Linked DNA regions of Canis lupus familiaris. The protein of the gene in region 3 interacts with the protein of the main gene of each other region in a pairwise test. Links are inferred from orthologs where the notes say so. Each region holds a gene or a part of one and is shown on either strand. Other genes may lie near its edges.

What was found.
Region 1: the proteins of U2AF2 (region 3) and PRPF3 interact in binary tests that used the Homo sapiens proteins (3 or more experiments, as listed by UniProt). The link is inferred for Canis lupus familiaris from reciprocal best matches to the Homo sapiens genes U2AF2 and PRPF3.
Region 2: the proteins of U2AF2 (region 3) and KHDC4 interact in binary tests that used the Homo sapiens proteins (3 or more experiments, as listed by UniProt). The two-hybrid records come from large-scale screens. The link is inferred for Canis lupus familiaris from reciprocal best matches to the Homo sapiens genes U2AF2 and KHDC4.

Annotation. Positions count from the first base shown.
Region 1 is NC_049238.1:60,207,952-60,213,097, forward strand, and holds the start of PRPF3 (U4/U6 small nuclear ribonucleoprotein Prp3), read left to right. Parts: upstream 1-1,655; 5' UTR 1,656-2,041; intron 2,042-2,333; exon of another isoform or gene 2,334-2,601; intron 2,602-5,146. UniProt on the Homo sapiens protein: Plays a role in pre-mRNA splicing as component of the U4/U6-U5 tri-snRNP complex that is involved in spliceosome assembly, and as component of the precatalytic spliceosome (spliceosome B complex).
Region 2 is NC_049228.1:41,859,496-41,864,581, forward strand, and holds the start of KHDC4 (KH homology domain-containing protein 4), read left to right. Parts: upstream 1-1,595; 5' UTR 1,596-1,679; coding exon 1,680-1,717; intron 1,718-2,195; coding exon 2,196-2,412; intron 2,413-5,086.
Region 3 is NC_049222.1:102,847,054-102,851,549, reverse strand, and holds part of U2AF2 (splicing factor U2AF 65 kDa subunit), read left to right. Parts: intron 1-520; coding exon 521-637; intron 638-775; coding exon 776-914; intron 915-4,496. UniProt on the Homo sapiens protein: Plays a role in pre-mRNA splicing and 3'-end processing. By recruiting PRPF19 and the PRP19C/Prp19 complex/NTC/Nineteen complex to the RNA polymerase II C-terminal domain (CTD), and thereby pre-mRNA, may couple transcription to splicing.

The sequences.
Region 1 (5,146 bases), on a different chromosome or scaffold from region 3:
GAAACAAAATGCCTTAGGCCTTTTTCTTCTTTAGGTGAAAAACAGACTTCAGCAGGTTCTGAGGCCTGCAAGATCTGCTGCCAAAAAATATTCATTCTTTACTTCAACAGATACTTGTTTAATTGTGCCACGTGCTTCTGTAGGCATTTAGGATATATCAATGACAATGATTCCTCTCTTTAAGGAGTTTATATTCTAGCAGAGGGAGTCAAATGATAAGCAGTAAGCATAAATAAACTAGTACTGATATGGTAGGTGGTACGAAGTTCTATGGAAAAAAGAAATATAAGGGGAATTGAGAGTGCCAAACAGGCTTCAGAATTTAACAGGGTGATCGGAAAGGCTTCACTGAAGTCATATTTGAATACAAATTTGAAGGGGATGGAGGAAGCAAATCCTATACTTGGATAAAGAGCAATCCATGTAGAGAACGTCAAATCCAAAGACCTTGAGGTGAAATTATCCTTGGCATGTTCAAGGAGTAAAAGGGATTACGATTCTGGAGTTGAATGAGTGAGGGAAAGAGTGGTGGTAGGTTGAAATCACAGAGGTAATAGAGTGGCACATTTTACTCTGAATTGTATGAAGAGCCAAGAAATGGTTTTAAGCAAGGACATAACGACCTTTCTGAGGTGTTTACATGGTCACTATAATAGCTGCCTTTCTAGTACTAGATAATTTGCTTATTAACCTACATTATGAGACAAAAGGGGGACAGACTGGAAGCAGGAGGCTCCTAAAATAATCGAAACATAAAAATGAGAGTAGTGGAGGTGGTGAGAAACAAGTGGGTTCTGTATGTATTTGAAAGCAGGACCAACAGAACACAGGAGTCCAGGATGATTCCAAGATTATTGGCCTGCCGAAACTGTAATACAGTTGCTCTTAACTGAGAATGAAGACTTGGAGCTGGTATTTTGGCAGGGCGGATGCGGTGTGAAATCATGAGTTTAGTTTTCATTATCGTGTAAACTTAAGATGTGTTCCAGACTAAATAGGCAATTGACTATTATATGTAATATAGCTTATTTAACTCTATGAAAAGCACTGTTTTAAGTGCATTACCCTCATTCTGTCATTGTTGACCTCAGAGCAGCCCCTGTGAAGAGAATTTTTTTTAACAGGTGAGGAAACAGGGCTTCAGTAATTTGCCTGCTTTCATAGCTAACGCGTGAGATCTAGAATACAAATCTCGGCAGTCTGACTTTAAAGCCCCTGTCCTTAGTTTAAGCAATATCGATTTTCAGAGGATGTCTGGCATATGGCAGTAGGCAGTCAATAAGTATTACGCCAATGAATGAATGAAACCATAAAAGGCACAGATGGAGGGCATGCTATCTTCGGAGTCGTCCTATGTTAGTCATTTTTCTTGGTGGTCTCTGACACTACACTTAAGTAAGGGAAAAAGGTTAAAGTGGTGCCGCCTCTCAAGATGGTTTACTGCCTACCAGAAAGGCTCAGTTTAGCCCGAACCCAGAAGCCTCGCTTTTTAAAAAAAAATAATAATAATAAAAATTTTTTTTAGATTTTTATTTATTTAATCATGGGGGGGGGGGGCGGGCAAAGACAGAGGCAGAGGGAGAAGCAGGCTCCATGCAGGGAGCCCGACGTGGGCCTCGATCCCAGGTCTCCAGGATCACGCCCTGGGCCCAAGGCAGGCTCTCAACCACTGAGCCACCCAGGCGTCCCAGAAGCCTCGCTTTTAGCGCATTTATTCACACTGTGAGTACTGCAAGCCCAATTTCTGCTTCAGGCAACATTAACTTCGCAGTAATCTAGTTACCAGATTTAGCTGGAGAAACCCAAAGACGCAGGAACTTTCATGCGCAAACTTTACTGCCCTGGCACGCATGCGCTCCGCCGCAGAGAAAGTAGCTACTACGGCTGCGCAAATCGGTGGCCCGGCCCTTCGCCGTCACATGTGGGGGACCGCGGCGTGGCGGCAGCTGTGGCGGTAGCGACGGCAGGCCGTAGGGCGGTCCGAGGGTTTCCGGTTCCGGTGTAACGTTCGGGCTCCGTCTCAGAGGCTGAAGTTTGTGAGGTGAGTAGTGCCCCGGGCCCTTTGAGGGTATCCTCCTGTCTGAGCAGCGAGGGCCGGGACTCAGCCCACGGGGAGGACCGAGGCGGGAACGTTCAGTGGGAAGGAAGCTGAGAGAAGTACAGGGTTCTGAGGGAGAATGGGTTGGAGTGAGATTGTGAGGAGGAAAAGGGCGGGGGCGGGAAGGGGACGGGGTGGGGAGACTAGCTGTAAGATGAGGAGTTTGGGGAGAACAGGGTGGGGTAGGGAACCGGTCGGAGATAGCAAACAGAAGAATGGGAGTTGCAGGGGGGAAAGTCAGGTTAGCAGGGAAGAACACGGAGTAAGGAAATTTTTCAGAAGATTGGATTCTCCTACCTGCTCAGAGATCCTGCCTTCCTCTACTTCCACCCCCGCCCCGCCCGAGGCAGTTATTGTCGAACATTTGATTAGTGACAAAAAGCTAGTTACTGTTTGAAACTTTTATTTTTGCCCACTGACTGTTTAATTTCCTAGAGGATTGGGTTGAAGTTGAATACATTTGTTAGTATGGTACTTGAGCACACATTTCATCTGATAGAGCGGTACGTGATTTGTTCTTTGGATTTTCAAAATGCTTACCCTTTCTAGCCCATGATTCAATTCTGGTGGAATATAAGCCCCATTAAGGCGAGGATTGTCTGTTCACTTGTATCCTCAGCACACAGTACACTGCTTGAGACCTAGTACTTATGCAGTGTTTATTGAATGATTAAGGATTATTTAGATATGGCAATTGGCTTCATTTTGTACGACAAGTAAACTGAGGCTCAGAGGAATTACTTGCCAAATAAGAGTTCGATATTTCAAATGTTCAGTGTGAACTCTTTTCTTCACTCATTTTGGGGTCTGAATCTGCTTCTTTTGAGTAACGTACATTTAATATGTATTGATTTATACACTATACTGCTATATCATGAGAGGTGAGTAGAGCTGCCATAGAATTATTCATATAACATGTCCTGAGGCACACAAAATCTTTCACTCCTATTTTCATTACGTTAATCTACTAGCTTCCAGTGGTTATACCAAAATTAAATACACAGTTTAGCAACAGGTCTTATAGAGAATAAACCTGCCAAGAAAGTAGAAGTTAATTAGACCATCTTTTAAGAGAAAAAAGATGTCTTAAAATATCTTGAGGGGTGCCTGGGTGGTTCAGTCAATTTGGCATCTGCCTTCAGCTCAGGTCATGATCCCAGCATCCTGGGATCAAGTCCGGATTCAGCTTCTCCCTCTCCCTTTGCCTCTCCCCACCGCTCATATGTTCTCTCTCTCTCAAATAAAGTCTTTAAAAAATAAACAAAAAATCTTGAAAGATTGACTCTCAGAGACCCTGATTTGTAGCACTGCTGTGAGGAAGTTAGCTTGAAAATTGAGGTCAGTGCTGTTTATTAGCTTTAGGCACTTAGTGAGAAAATCAGGGAAATAACATTTTCTCTCTGCTCATGAGCTATGCTATTTTTTTTTTTTTTAAGATTTATTCATGAGAGACACAGAGACATAAGCAGAGACATAGAGGGAGAAGCAGCCTTCTCGCAGAGACCCCAATGTGAGACTCGATCCCCAGACCTGGGGGGGATCACTCCCTGAGCTGAACACAGACGCTCAATCACTGAGCCACCCAGGCATTCCAGGCTTTACTGTTTAACTAGGAGAGCAAAATGTAAACATGAATAATTTTGAAGAATTGCTAACTTGGGTAAATAATTAAAATTTGTTATAGAGAGTTCTTTATGATAATGTTTTCTCTGCTAAGCTAAAAGCTAAAAAGAAAGGAATAAAGATGTAAAGGGAGAGAGGAGTGCCTAGATGGCTTAGTGGTTGAGTGTCTGCCTTTGGCTCAGGTCATGATTCCACGGTCCTGGGATTGAGTTCTGCATCAGGCTGCCTGCTTCTCCCTCTGCCTATGTCTCTGCCTCTCTCTCTGTGTCTCAAATAAATAAATCTTAAAAAAAAAAAAAGAAAGAAAGAAAGAAAAGGGAGAGAAAGCACATCCAAAATGAGGGTATTCTTTTCTGAGCTGAGGGATTAATTTTGTGAAGTCAACTGATAGAGATCTCGTAGAACATAAAATGATCTGGGTACAGAATTTCCATGGGGATGACTATGACTACAGAGAAATGTGACAACATTCTTAGGTATTATGAACTTTATTGTTTTTAAAAAAATTATTTATTTGAAGTAGGCTCAACACATTCTCAATGCGGGGGCTTGAACTCCCAACCCTGGGATTGAGAGTTGCATGCTCTACTGACTGAGCCAGCCAGGTGCCCAGGATGATGAGCCTTTTTTTTTTTTTTTTTTTTTTAAATAACCTGGTGGAAGGCCAGTGGGAGAGGGAGAAAGAGAATCCCAAGCTCCACACTAGGTGTGCAGCCCAGTGTAGGAATCTCAATCCCATAACTCCAAGATCATGACCTGAGCTGAAAATCAAGAGTCGTATGCTTGACTCACTGAGCCACCCAGCCACCCCAGATTAAGAGCTTTATTTTATTTTTTTTAAGATTTTATTTATTTATTCATGGGGCGGGGGGCAGAGATACAGGCACAGGGAGAAGCAGTTTCCATGCAGGGAGCCTGATGTGGGACTTGATCTTGGGTCTCCAGGATCAGGCCCTGGGCTGAAGGCAGCACTAAACCACTGAGCCACTTAGGCTGTCCAGATTAAGAGCTTTAATATTGGATGGCTTACCTGGATAAGCCCTCCTTCTTTTTTTTTTTTTCATCTCTAAAAAGAAGGGAAACCGGGATCTCTGGGTGGTGCAGCGGTTTGGCGCCTGCCTTTGGCCCAGGGCGCGATCCTGGAGACCCGGGATCGAATCCCACGTCGGGCTCCCGGTGCATGGAGCCTGCTTCTCCCTCTGCCTGTGTCTCTGCCTCTCTCTCTCTCTCTCTCTCTGACTATCATAAATAAATAAGTTAAAAAAAAAAAAAAAAGGAAACCTACAGGTCAAGGCTGGGTTAAGGAATACCTGCCTGGAAGTAGGAGGAATAGAAAAGCTGGTCTTTGGGTAGGCTTTTTCAGTCTTGTTTTCAGGTTGTATGTTTGCCAATCTTTGTTATGATAGGATCAAAAAAGAAGCTAGA
Region 2 (5,086 bases), on a different chromosome or scaffold from region 3:
ATTAAAATTAAAAAGAAAGAGTTGCCAGCTTTAACAATAGCCAGCCAGGTGCCCCAGTACTCTTTTATAAAAAGTAATATAGTTTATAAATATCATTTAAAAAAAAGGAAAAAATAATGTAATTTTAAAAAAAGACCTTATTCATTTATCTGGCAGAGAGAGAGAGCACAAGTGAGGGGAGGAGCAGAGGGAGAGGAGGAGTTGAAGGCAGCTGAAGGCAGACACCTAATGATTGATTGAGACACCCAGGCGCCCCTCCTTTTCTTTTTTTGAAGTAAGCTTCATGCCCAGTATGGAGGCCAGCCTGGGGATTTAAGCCATGACCCCGGAGATCAAGACCTGAGCTGAGATCAAGAGTCACATCTGCTACCAACTGAGCCATCCAGGCACCCTCCCCCCAACAATGTATTTTCAGACTCCCAACAACATTGTATTTGGGGGCAAGGGGCAAAAAGAAAACAATGCTGTTTAATCTGAAATTCTTCTTTTTTTTAATTTTTATTTTTTTAAGATTTTATTTATCCATTCATGAGAGACACACAGAGAGGAGGGCGGGGGGGGGGGGGGGGGGGCAGAGACACAGGCAGAGGGAGAAGCAGGCTCCATGCAAGGAGCCCGACGTGGGACTCGATCCTGGGACTCCAGGATCATGCTCCGGGGCGAAGGCAGGCGCTGAATCTCTGAGCCACCCAGGGATCTCTTAATCTGACATTCTTTAGAAAAATACACCTGTCAGAAAAGGCAAGGAAATATAGAAGGCAATGAGAATTGGCTTGCCCTAACAGATATTAAATATAGAAGTATTCAATAGATGCCGTAGCAAAAGAACAAATCCACGCAAAAGACTGAAAAAACATATTATCGTATATATAAAATTTCATAAATGATAAAGATGGTGTTTGTACCAAAGGGTAATTTATTAAACGCTGAAGGGAAAACACGAGTTTGGATTTCAAGTTAATCTGCAGTCTATTAATCCTACCAGCATGTGAACTCACTAGAAAAACAGCGCTGCGGGCTATCCACTGAAGAGAGTCTCCTCACAGCTCCAAGACCCGCCAACGGGGTCAGTCAGCGGTCACGGCCCACTCCGAGCCCCTCACCCGCCCCTCACCTCCGCTCTCCCGCCCGGGCGCCGGCGCCCCCTCGCGGCGCGCCCCCGAAGCCCCGCTTTGAAATCAATGGTTGGCACACAGACGTAAAACCACCGGAGAATTCTCCACATGACCTTTGGGATGAACCATTTGCCTTTTCCTAAACAGGTAACTGAAACATGAAGCGGGCCAAAGTTGCGGGCTTCGGCGTCCTCTCTCCTTGGCCAGAGGACGCGGCTGGACTGAGGGAAACACTTGTTTAATTCCCTGACTCATGCGTATTGTCCTGTAGACTACCAACCTGCCCACAACAAACATGAACCTCCTCTTCCCAATTCCGCCCCGATGCGCGCTTCAGCCGCCATCTTTCTCCAGGGCAGGGCGCAAGCAGGAAGGTCACACCCTACCTGTCTCCGATAACGCCAGACGCCTCGAAATCCACAAGAGTCCAATTGGAACCGACGCTTCCACCGGAACAGCTTTTCTACACGACCGGAAGGGGCTGTGCGTGAGGGCGTTGGGGGCGGAAGTGACGGGAGGGTGGTAGTGGGGTAGTTGGCGGGTGGTTGAGCAGAGCCGGTCGCCATGTCCGCGGGGAGCGCGACGCATCCCGGGGCTGGCGGGTAAAGCTTTCGTGGGCGAGGGCATCGCAGCCCGCACGGGGCGGAGGAGAGGCGGAGGGGCCAAAGGGAGCTGCCTGCGGGAAGTGGGGGGGCGCTGAGGTGGTACGCGTACGTGTCAGAGGGCTGGGCTTAGGGGGAGGAAGATGGTAAGCAGGCCTTGGGGCGCCCGAAAAAGGCCGGCAGGGAAGGGGGGGAGGAGGAGGAAGGCCGAGGCTTTCGGGAGCACCGGCCAAGAGAAGATGAGAACGAGGGTATGTGGGACTGACTGGAGCGTTTTGAGAGGGAGGAAGGAAGTAAGGAGATACTGCAGCAATTGTGTCTGTTCGGGGGGGGGGGGGGGGGGGAATGGTAATTTTAATATTGATAGAGACTCGAGGGTGTAAAGAGAACGTGGTAGCGGGGAAGCGGGGTGCCAGAGCGTGGTAAGGGAAGAATGATAGAAAAGCTTCGAAGCCTCACGTTTTCCTCTTCCTTGTAGACGCCGCAGCAAATGGGACCAGCCAGCTCCAGCCCCCCTTCTGTTCCTCCCGCCGGCAGCCCCAGGTGCGGAGGTGCCCAGCAGTGGGGGAAGCCCTGGGGGCTCCGCGGCTGCTCCTTCTGGAGCCTTGGACGCTGCTGCTGCTGTGGCTGCCAAAATCAATGCCATGCTCATGGCCAAAGGGAAGCTGAAACCAACTCAGAATGTTGCTGAAAAGGTATTTGAAGTTGAAGGGACTCTGTTAATTGTAACTTTAATTTTGTAATTAAAGGCTACTTAGTAATTCTGTAATTAAACAATTATTTGTGTTAAGGAGAAAACAAGGTTACAGTAATTTAAAGATCACTTAGTTTTGGAATGCATCATGTGATATTATGTCATTTGTTTTCATGAGGCAAGTTTGGTTGGTTTGATTACATTTATGGACCAAATAGTTCACTTTGTCTTCGCTCACGTAGTTCAGCTTAACTTCTATCTATGTAATCATTTAAAGCAATGATGCGAAATTTTTCAATACTTAGGCTTTTTCCCTGAAATCCAAAGAGATGTTCAGGTAAATCAAGTGACTTTAAAATGTCTCTAGTCAGCTGTACTAAAACGTAAATACATACGTACAACGTCCTTTCTAGTTAGAATCTATAGATTTTTAATAACTGCCTACAGTGTAGTTCAATGTGAAATGAAATGGATAATTTATATGTTGGTGGTTTTGCTGTTTTCACACAAACTGAAATTATTTGGTCATTTTAAAGAATTTCTGGTATAATTAAAATTTCACAACTAGAATAGATCTGAACTTTGAAGTCTTTATCTTGCAATGGAAGACCAACTTTTACAGGATGATGAGTATAGTGGCTGTTTGTACTGCTAGACTGCATGCTTTGCGCTTAAAAAAATCCCTTGCAGCAATTTGATGGAATGGATTACTGTCGCCAGTTTACAGAGGAGGAAAATAAGATTCGTGAATGTACATTGTATAAGATCTGTCAAGGCAGACATCTGACTTCAGAGTCAGACAATTGGGTGTCTAGCTTTTGTTTGAAAGTGTCTCTTGGGCAACCCTAGTGGCTCAGCGGTTTAGCCCTGCCTTCAGCCCAAGGCATTATCCTAGAGACCCGGGATCAAGTCCCAGGTCAGGCTCCCTGTATGGAGCCTGCTTCTGTCTCTGCCTGTGTCTCTGCCTCTCTCTTTCTGTGTCTCTCATGAATGAGTAAATAAAATCTTTAAAAAAAAAAAAAAAAAAGAATGTCTCTAGATTTGGAGAGTTCAGTTCTAAGGCAGCTTAGCTCATTATAATACACATTTGAAAAAAAAAGTTCTTTGACTTCAATTAAAAGTTGAAGCAAATAGATGGGTTCTGTGTTTAAAAATGCATTTTGGGGGTTCCCTGGGTGGCTTAGCGGTTTGATGCCGGCCTTTGGCCTAGGGCGCGATGCTGGAGTCCCGGGATCGAGTCCCACATCGGGCTCCTGGCATGGAGCCTGCTTCTCCCTCTGCCTGTGTCTCTGCCTCTCTCTCTCTCTCTCTCTATGTATATCATAAATAAGTAAATAAATAAATAAATCTTAAAAAATTAAAAAATAAAAATGCATTTTGGGTGAGTGGTGGATGTGTTAATAGCATGTTTGTGGTGATTATTTCCAGTGTATACATGTATCAGATCATCCGGTTGTTCATCTTAAATATATACAGTTTTTATTTGTCTATAATACCTCAGAGTTGAGAGGGAAAGATGATAGAGTTTTTTGTTAGCTGTCCAGTTTATAACATCAACAGAATGGCTATTATCTGTTTGGATGTTTACTCAAGTTCTGCAGAATTGATGGGAATTTTTAGTGAGTTGGAAGTTCATTATTCATCGTATTTTTTTTTTTTTTAAGATTTTATTTATTTATTCATGAGAGAGAGAGAGGCAGAGACACAGACAGAAGAAGCAGCAGGCTCTATGCAGGGAGCCTGACTTGGGACTCCATCCTGGGTCTCCAGGATCACGTCCTGGGCTGAAGGTGGCACTAAACCACTAAGCCACCAGGGCTGCCCTATTCGTTGTATTTTTAATTGTAAAGATTGAGTCAATTGTCCATTTTTAAGTTCTGAAAGGAAATTTTTATTTCTTTTAAGGTTTTATTTATTTAGTCATGAGAGACACACAGAGAGAGGCAGAGACACAGGCAGAGGAAGAAGCAGGCTCCACGCAGGGAGCCCGATGCAGGGCTCGATCCGGGGTCTCCAGGATCAGCCCCTGGTCGCTAAGACGCTGAGCCACCCGGGCTGCCCGCTGCAAGGAAATATTAAAAGCACACTGACAAAGATGGAATGCTCCTTCAGTATTAAAATTATTTTTCTTTATTTTTTATTTTATTTTCTTGAGTGTTAAAATTTTTAACGCTGATGTTAATCCTTTATTCCTTTTTTCCCCACTTCTAAAAAGCAATTGAGGGGCATCTCTGGGTGGCTCAGTGGTTTAGTGCCTGCCTTTCGCCCAGGGCGTGATCTTGGAGTCCCGGGATCGAGTTCCGCATTGGGCTCTCTGCATGGAGCCTGCTTCTCCCTCTGCCTGTGTCTCTGCCTCCTCTGCCTCTCTCTCTCTCTCTCTCTCTCTCTCTCTGTGTCTATCATAAATAAATAAATCTTTAAAAAATAAAAAAATAAAATTTGAATTAAATTTTAATTCTTATCACAGCATTTGGACATGAGGCTGACAGTGGCCATGCTGGATGGCCAGGTAGAGAACACCTGTGTCATCACAGGATGTCCTGTGGGATAGCACTGATCTGTACCTTTGGTGGTGGCCAGTACTGAGCAGGGCCTAAACAAACGTGAGATATTGAGTCTAGTTTGTGTCCACATTTTAAAAATATCGAGGCACCTGGGTGGCTCAATTGGTTAAG
Region 3 (4,496 bases):
TGTCCCTTGGCTCCTCTTCCTCTCCCAACTCCTTTTCTTCTCTGGACTTGTCTTCCTCTCTGATTCTTCTCCCTTGTCTTTCCTGCTTTCCTGCTGTGCCTTCTTCCTGTCCTCACGGGATGTGCTCTCTCTCTCTCTCTCTCTCTCTCACCTTCCACCTCCCTGTTTTCTATTTTATGCTTTTTCTTCTTTTCCTGTCATTGCCATTTCTATGCGTTTTTCTTGAATGACGTGTCTCTGGTTGGGGCCCCTGCGGTCCTCCCCACACTCCTGGCCCCTGGCTGTCTTTTGCTGCTGCCTCCTACTCCTCCTTGCTTTCTCTAATCTTCTCCTGTCTCTGTCCCTGCTGATCTCTCTGCCCCCACCCCTGTTCCACTGCTCCCTCCCTTTCTCCTTCCACCCTCCCTTTCCCTTTCCCTCCCCTCCCCCCCAAACCCCTCTGTGTCTCCCTCTCTCACCCTCCCCTCCTCTCTCCACCTCCCTCCCCCCGCCCCCCCCCTGTCTCCTATTCCCTCTGCAGGAGGCCATGATGGATTTCTTCAACGCCCAGATGCGCCTTGGGGGTCTGACCCAGGCTCCTGGCAACCCCGTCTTGGCTGTGCAGATTAACCAGGACAAGAACTTTGCTTTCTTGGAGGTGAGCGGGTTGCATTGTGGGGTCAGAAGGTGTGTGTTCTTTCTCTGCAGCAGCCTTGATCTGCCCAGGGCCCTTCTGCAGGCTGTGGTACACCCGGCACCCTGATCCTCATCACTGTACCACCACCTTCTCTTTCAGTTCCGCTCAGTGGATGAGACCACCCAGGCCATGGCCTTTGATGGCATCATCTTCCAGGGCCAGTCGCTGAAGATCCGTAGGCCTCATGACTACCAACCCCTGCCTGGCATGTCGGAGAACCCCTCTGTCTACGTCCCTGGTGAGTGGGGGCCTTGTCCCACGCTTCCCTCTCCAGCCCCGCTGGAGCTACTTGGGAGATGGCATGAATGCTTCTCATCCATCTCCCCAAACCTTAGGAGAATGCACAGTGGCTGTGGGAGGTGTTGAGGGAGGTGAAGGGTTTGCTGCCTGGCTGTCATTCCTGCTCTGGCTCTGGGACTTTGTGAGCATAAGCGTGTGAGCTCATAGTGTGAACACAAGCAGTTTCTCAGTGTGGGGTCGGCTGCTGGACGTTCCCTTGTCTGGCCTCTGTTTCTCCTGACTTCTGTGCTTTGGGCTATTCCCCACAGCCACGTTTAGTAGTAGTCTGGGTCAGTGGAGATCATAGCAGACTGGAATCGGTGATCTTTTCCTGAAAAGGGTCAGATAGTAAATATCTTTGGTTTTGTGGGCCATACCGACTGGGTCACCTGGGTCACAATTGTTCTGTTGTGACGTGGCAACCTGTATGCCGCCTCGTGATAGCTGAATGAGTGGGTGTGGCCCTGGTATATTACCCACACGTTGTGCAATAGCTTCTAAAAAACCTTGCAGGCTATACAAAAAGACAGCCGGCTTAACTCGACTTACAGGCTGGTTGCCGTCCCCTGTGGTGAGATGGGTGAAAGTGAGGATTTGTGCCTCTGGGAGGCCCTGTTGGAGTGCAGGGAGCAAAGTGGGCTTGGAGAAGCCAGTGCTGTGGTGGAACTGGGGGGCCTGGATCTTAGGTCCCTGGTGTTCTCCCAGTAAAGGTGGTAGGCATGGATGGTCTGGGCCAGGGGGTGGGGGGGAGGAGCAGAAGGTGGGTTTCTGCTGGCTGAGGCTTCGCCCTGAAGGACACCTTTTAGAAATCGAGTCCACTGCTGACAAAGCGGGGGACATGGAGTCCCAGAGAGGGTGACACCTCAGGACTGGGTGCTGGTTCCCTGCCTTGTTTCCAGTGTTTTCCACCGTAATAAATTTGGTAAGTTTGGTGGATCTAATGTTTCCGGTAACTGAGGCGTATTTTTCGATGTTGACATGTACTAAGTGTTTGATCAGATGATTTCTGTGTGGGTGCACGTCTGTGAGAGCATTTCTAGATGAAGTTATAGGCCGTTGCTTTGTATTAAAGTGAATCTCTTTTTAAGAGTTTACTTTAGAGAAAGCGTGCACATGTGCGCAGGTGGGGTTGGATGTGGGGCGAAATCTGGAGCAGACTCCACACTGAGGGCAGAGCCTGACTGTGGGCTCGGTCCCACAACTGCAAGATCATGACACCTGAGCCAGAATCAAGAGTTGGTACCTAACTGATGGGAGTCAGCCAGGCGCCCCTGTGCAAAATAAATTTAGTGTTTTAAGGTTTATTTTTTTAAGGGTTTTATTCATTTATTCATGAGAGAGGGAGAGTGGTAGAGACAGGCAGAGGGAGAAGCAACCTCCCTGAGACTCACTCCCAGGACCCTGGGATCACGACTTGAGCTGAAGGTGGATGCTCAATCACTGAGCCACCCAGGTGTTCTTTTTTTTTTTTTCTTTTTATAAAGATTTTATTTATTTATTCATAGAGACACAGTGAGAGGGGCAGAGGCACAGGGAGAGGGAGAAGCAGGCTCCATGCAGGGAGCCTGATGTGGGACTCGATCCAGGGTCCCCAGGATCACACCCCAGGCTGCAGGCAGCGCTAAACCTCTGCGCCACCAAGGGCTGCCCCCACCCAGGTGTTAAGATTTTTTTTTTTTTTTTTTAAAGATTTATTTATTTATTTTTATTTGTGATAGAGAAAGAGGCAGAGACACAGGAGGAGGGAAAAGCAGGCTCCATGCCGGGAGCCTGACATGGGACTCGATCCCGGGACTCCAGGATTGTGCCCTGGGCCAAAGGCAGGCGCCAAACTGCTGAGCCACCCAGGGATCCCTTCTTAAGATGTTTTTAATTATATAAGGAGCCTGCTTACTTGTCGAAGCTTACTATGTCAGGCACTTTGCCGAGTGGGGTCCATGGATCAGGTTAGTTTTTGTGACAGCTGTGTAGTACAAAGTCTGCAACTGACAGCTAGGGGTCAAATGTAGCTTACCAGTAAGCCTGTTTTCCTAAAGTGGGCTCTGCGTCCGGTGTGTACTCATGTACTCACTGTACTCCATGTACTTCAGCAAAAGGCATGTGCTCCACCTTCTGAGCCAGCCAGGTGCCCCTTGCCCATTTTTTTAAATAAAGATTAACTGGCACAGAGCCGAGTCCACTCGTTGTCTAGCGTCTGTATGACTTTTCTGCAGCAGCGGTCAGTTTGGATGAGAGACCCCGTGGCCCACAAACTGAAAATGTTTGCCACCCAGCTCTTTGGTGAGAGGCTTGCCAGCCACTGTTGTGTGTACCGCGATCCTGTTTCAGACCGGAGGAGAGCAAGGCAAGGCATGATAATGGTCTCTAGAGTTGGTGCTGTGCGGTCTTCCATAGCACCTTCTGACACAGGCCCTTTACCGTGTGGGAACAGAGACCTCGCGGGTCAGGGATAGCTTGTATTGGATCGTCTTCCCAGATTCATGGGCCCCTTTCTAGACGTAACTATTGGCGTGACTAAGCAGCTGAAGCGTGGGTCATCATCCATCTCTGTTCTTTGGGATTTGCTCACCCAGAGGGACCTGAGGGTCTGCAGTACTAGTGCCTGGGCAGGTGGCAGGAAGTGTGATTGTGCTTGTAGATTGAGCATCTTCTAGTTACCTTTTCATAGCGAAGTTCATATTTCAGTCTTCATTTTTTGGTTTAAAAAAAAAAACAATTTTATTATACAAGGAGGCTAAAGAGGAAAGCATGTGTGATAAAATTTAGCAGATGTTCTTGGCTGGAAGAGAAACAGTTCAGGAACCTGGAAGGCAACTTTCTGACCTTGATGGAAATGTGTTGATTAAACATGCATCACTTGGGGTTGTGAAATCTTGAGTTCATCTGCCCCTGAAGTCAGGCCTTGCTGTTGAGTGCTGGTGACAGGATCCTGGTGGTTCTTTGAAGACAAGAGGGAGACTGAGGTGGGGGGTGGGCCAGAGCTGTCTTTGGAAGCAGGGGAGCCCAGTAGTTATTCAGTGTGAGTTCAGCTCAGCTGTGAGCACCCGCCCACTGCCATGCCAGGCTCCCTTCCCCGTGCAGGGCCGAGTCCTAATCCCCCCCCCCCCCCCGCCCCCTCATCAGGCTCCTGCCACTGGGGCCTCACCCCCATGTACCCACTCCCTTATACCCACTCCCTTGGCAGAGTCCTATTCTGCCTGGTCTGGTGGTGAGTGCATGGTAGGAGAAAGTGGTATTCTAGGCACAGGGAAAGATTGCTCAGCCTTTGGGGGTCTAGTGTGGCCTTCAGAGAGGAGGTGTGTGCCAGGTGGACCCTCTGAAGGAGTGGATGTGTGGTCAGGGAGGAGGAGCCTGTCCATCCTTTTTTTTTTTTTCTTAAGATTTTATTTATTTATTCATGAGACATAGATAGAGGCAGACACACAGGCAGAGGAAGCAGGCTCCATGCAGGGAGCCCAATGTGGGACCCGATCCCAGTTCTCCAGGATCAGGCCCCGGGTTGAAGGTGGCACGAAACCACTGAGCCACCCGGGCTGCCCTG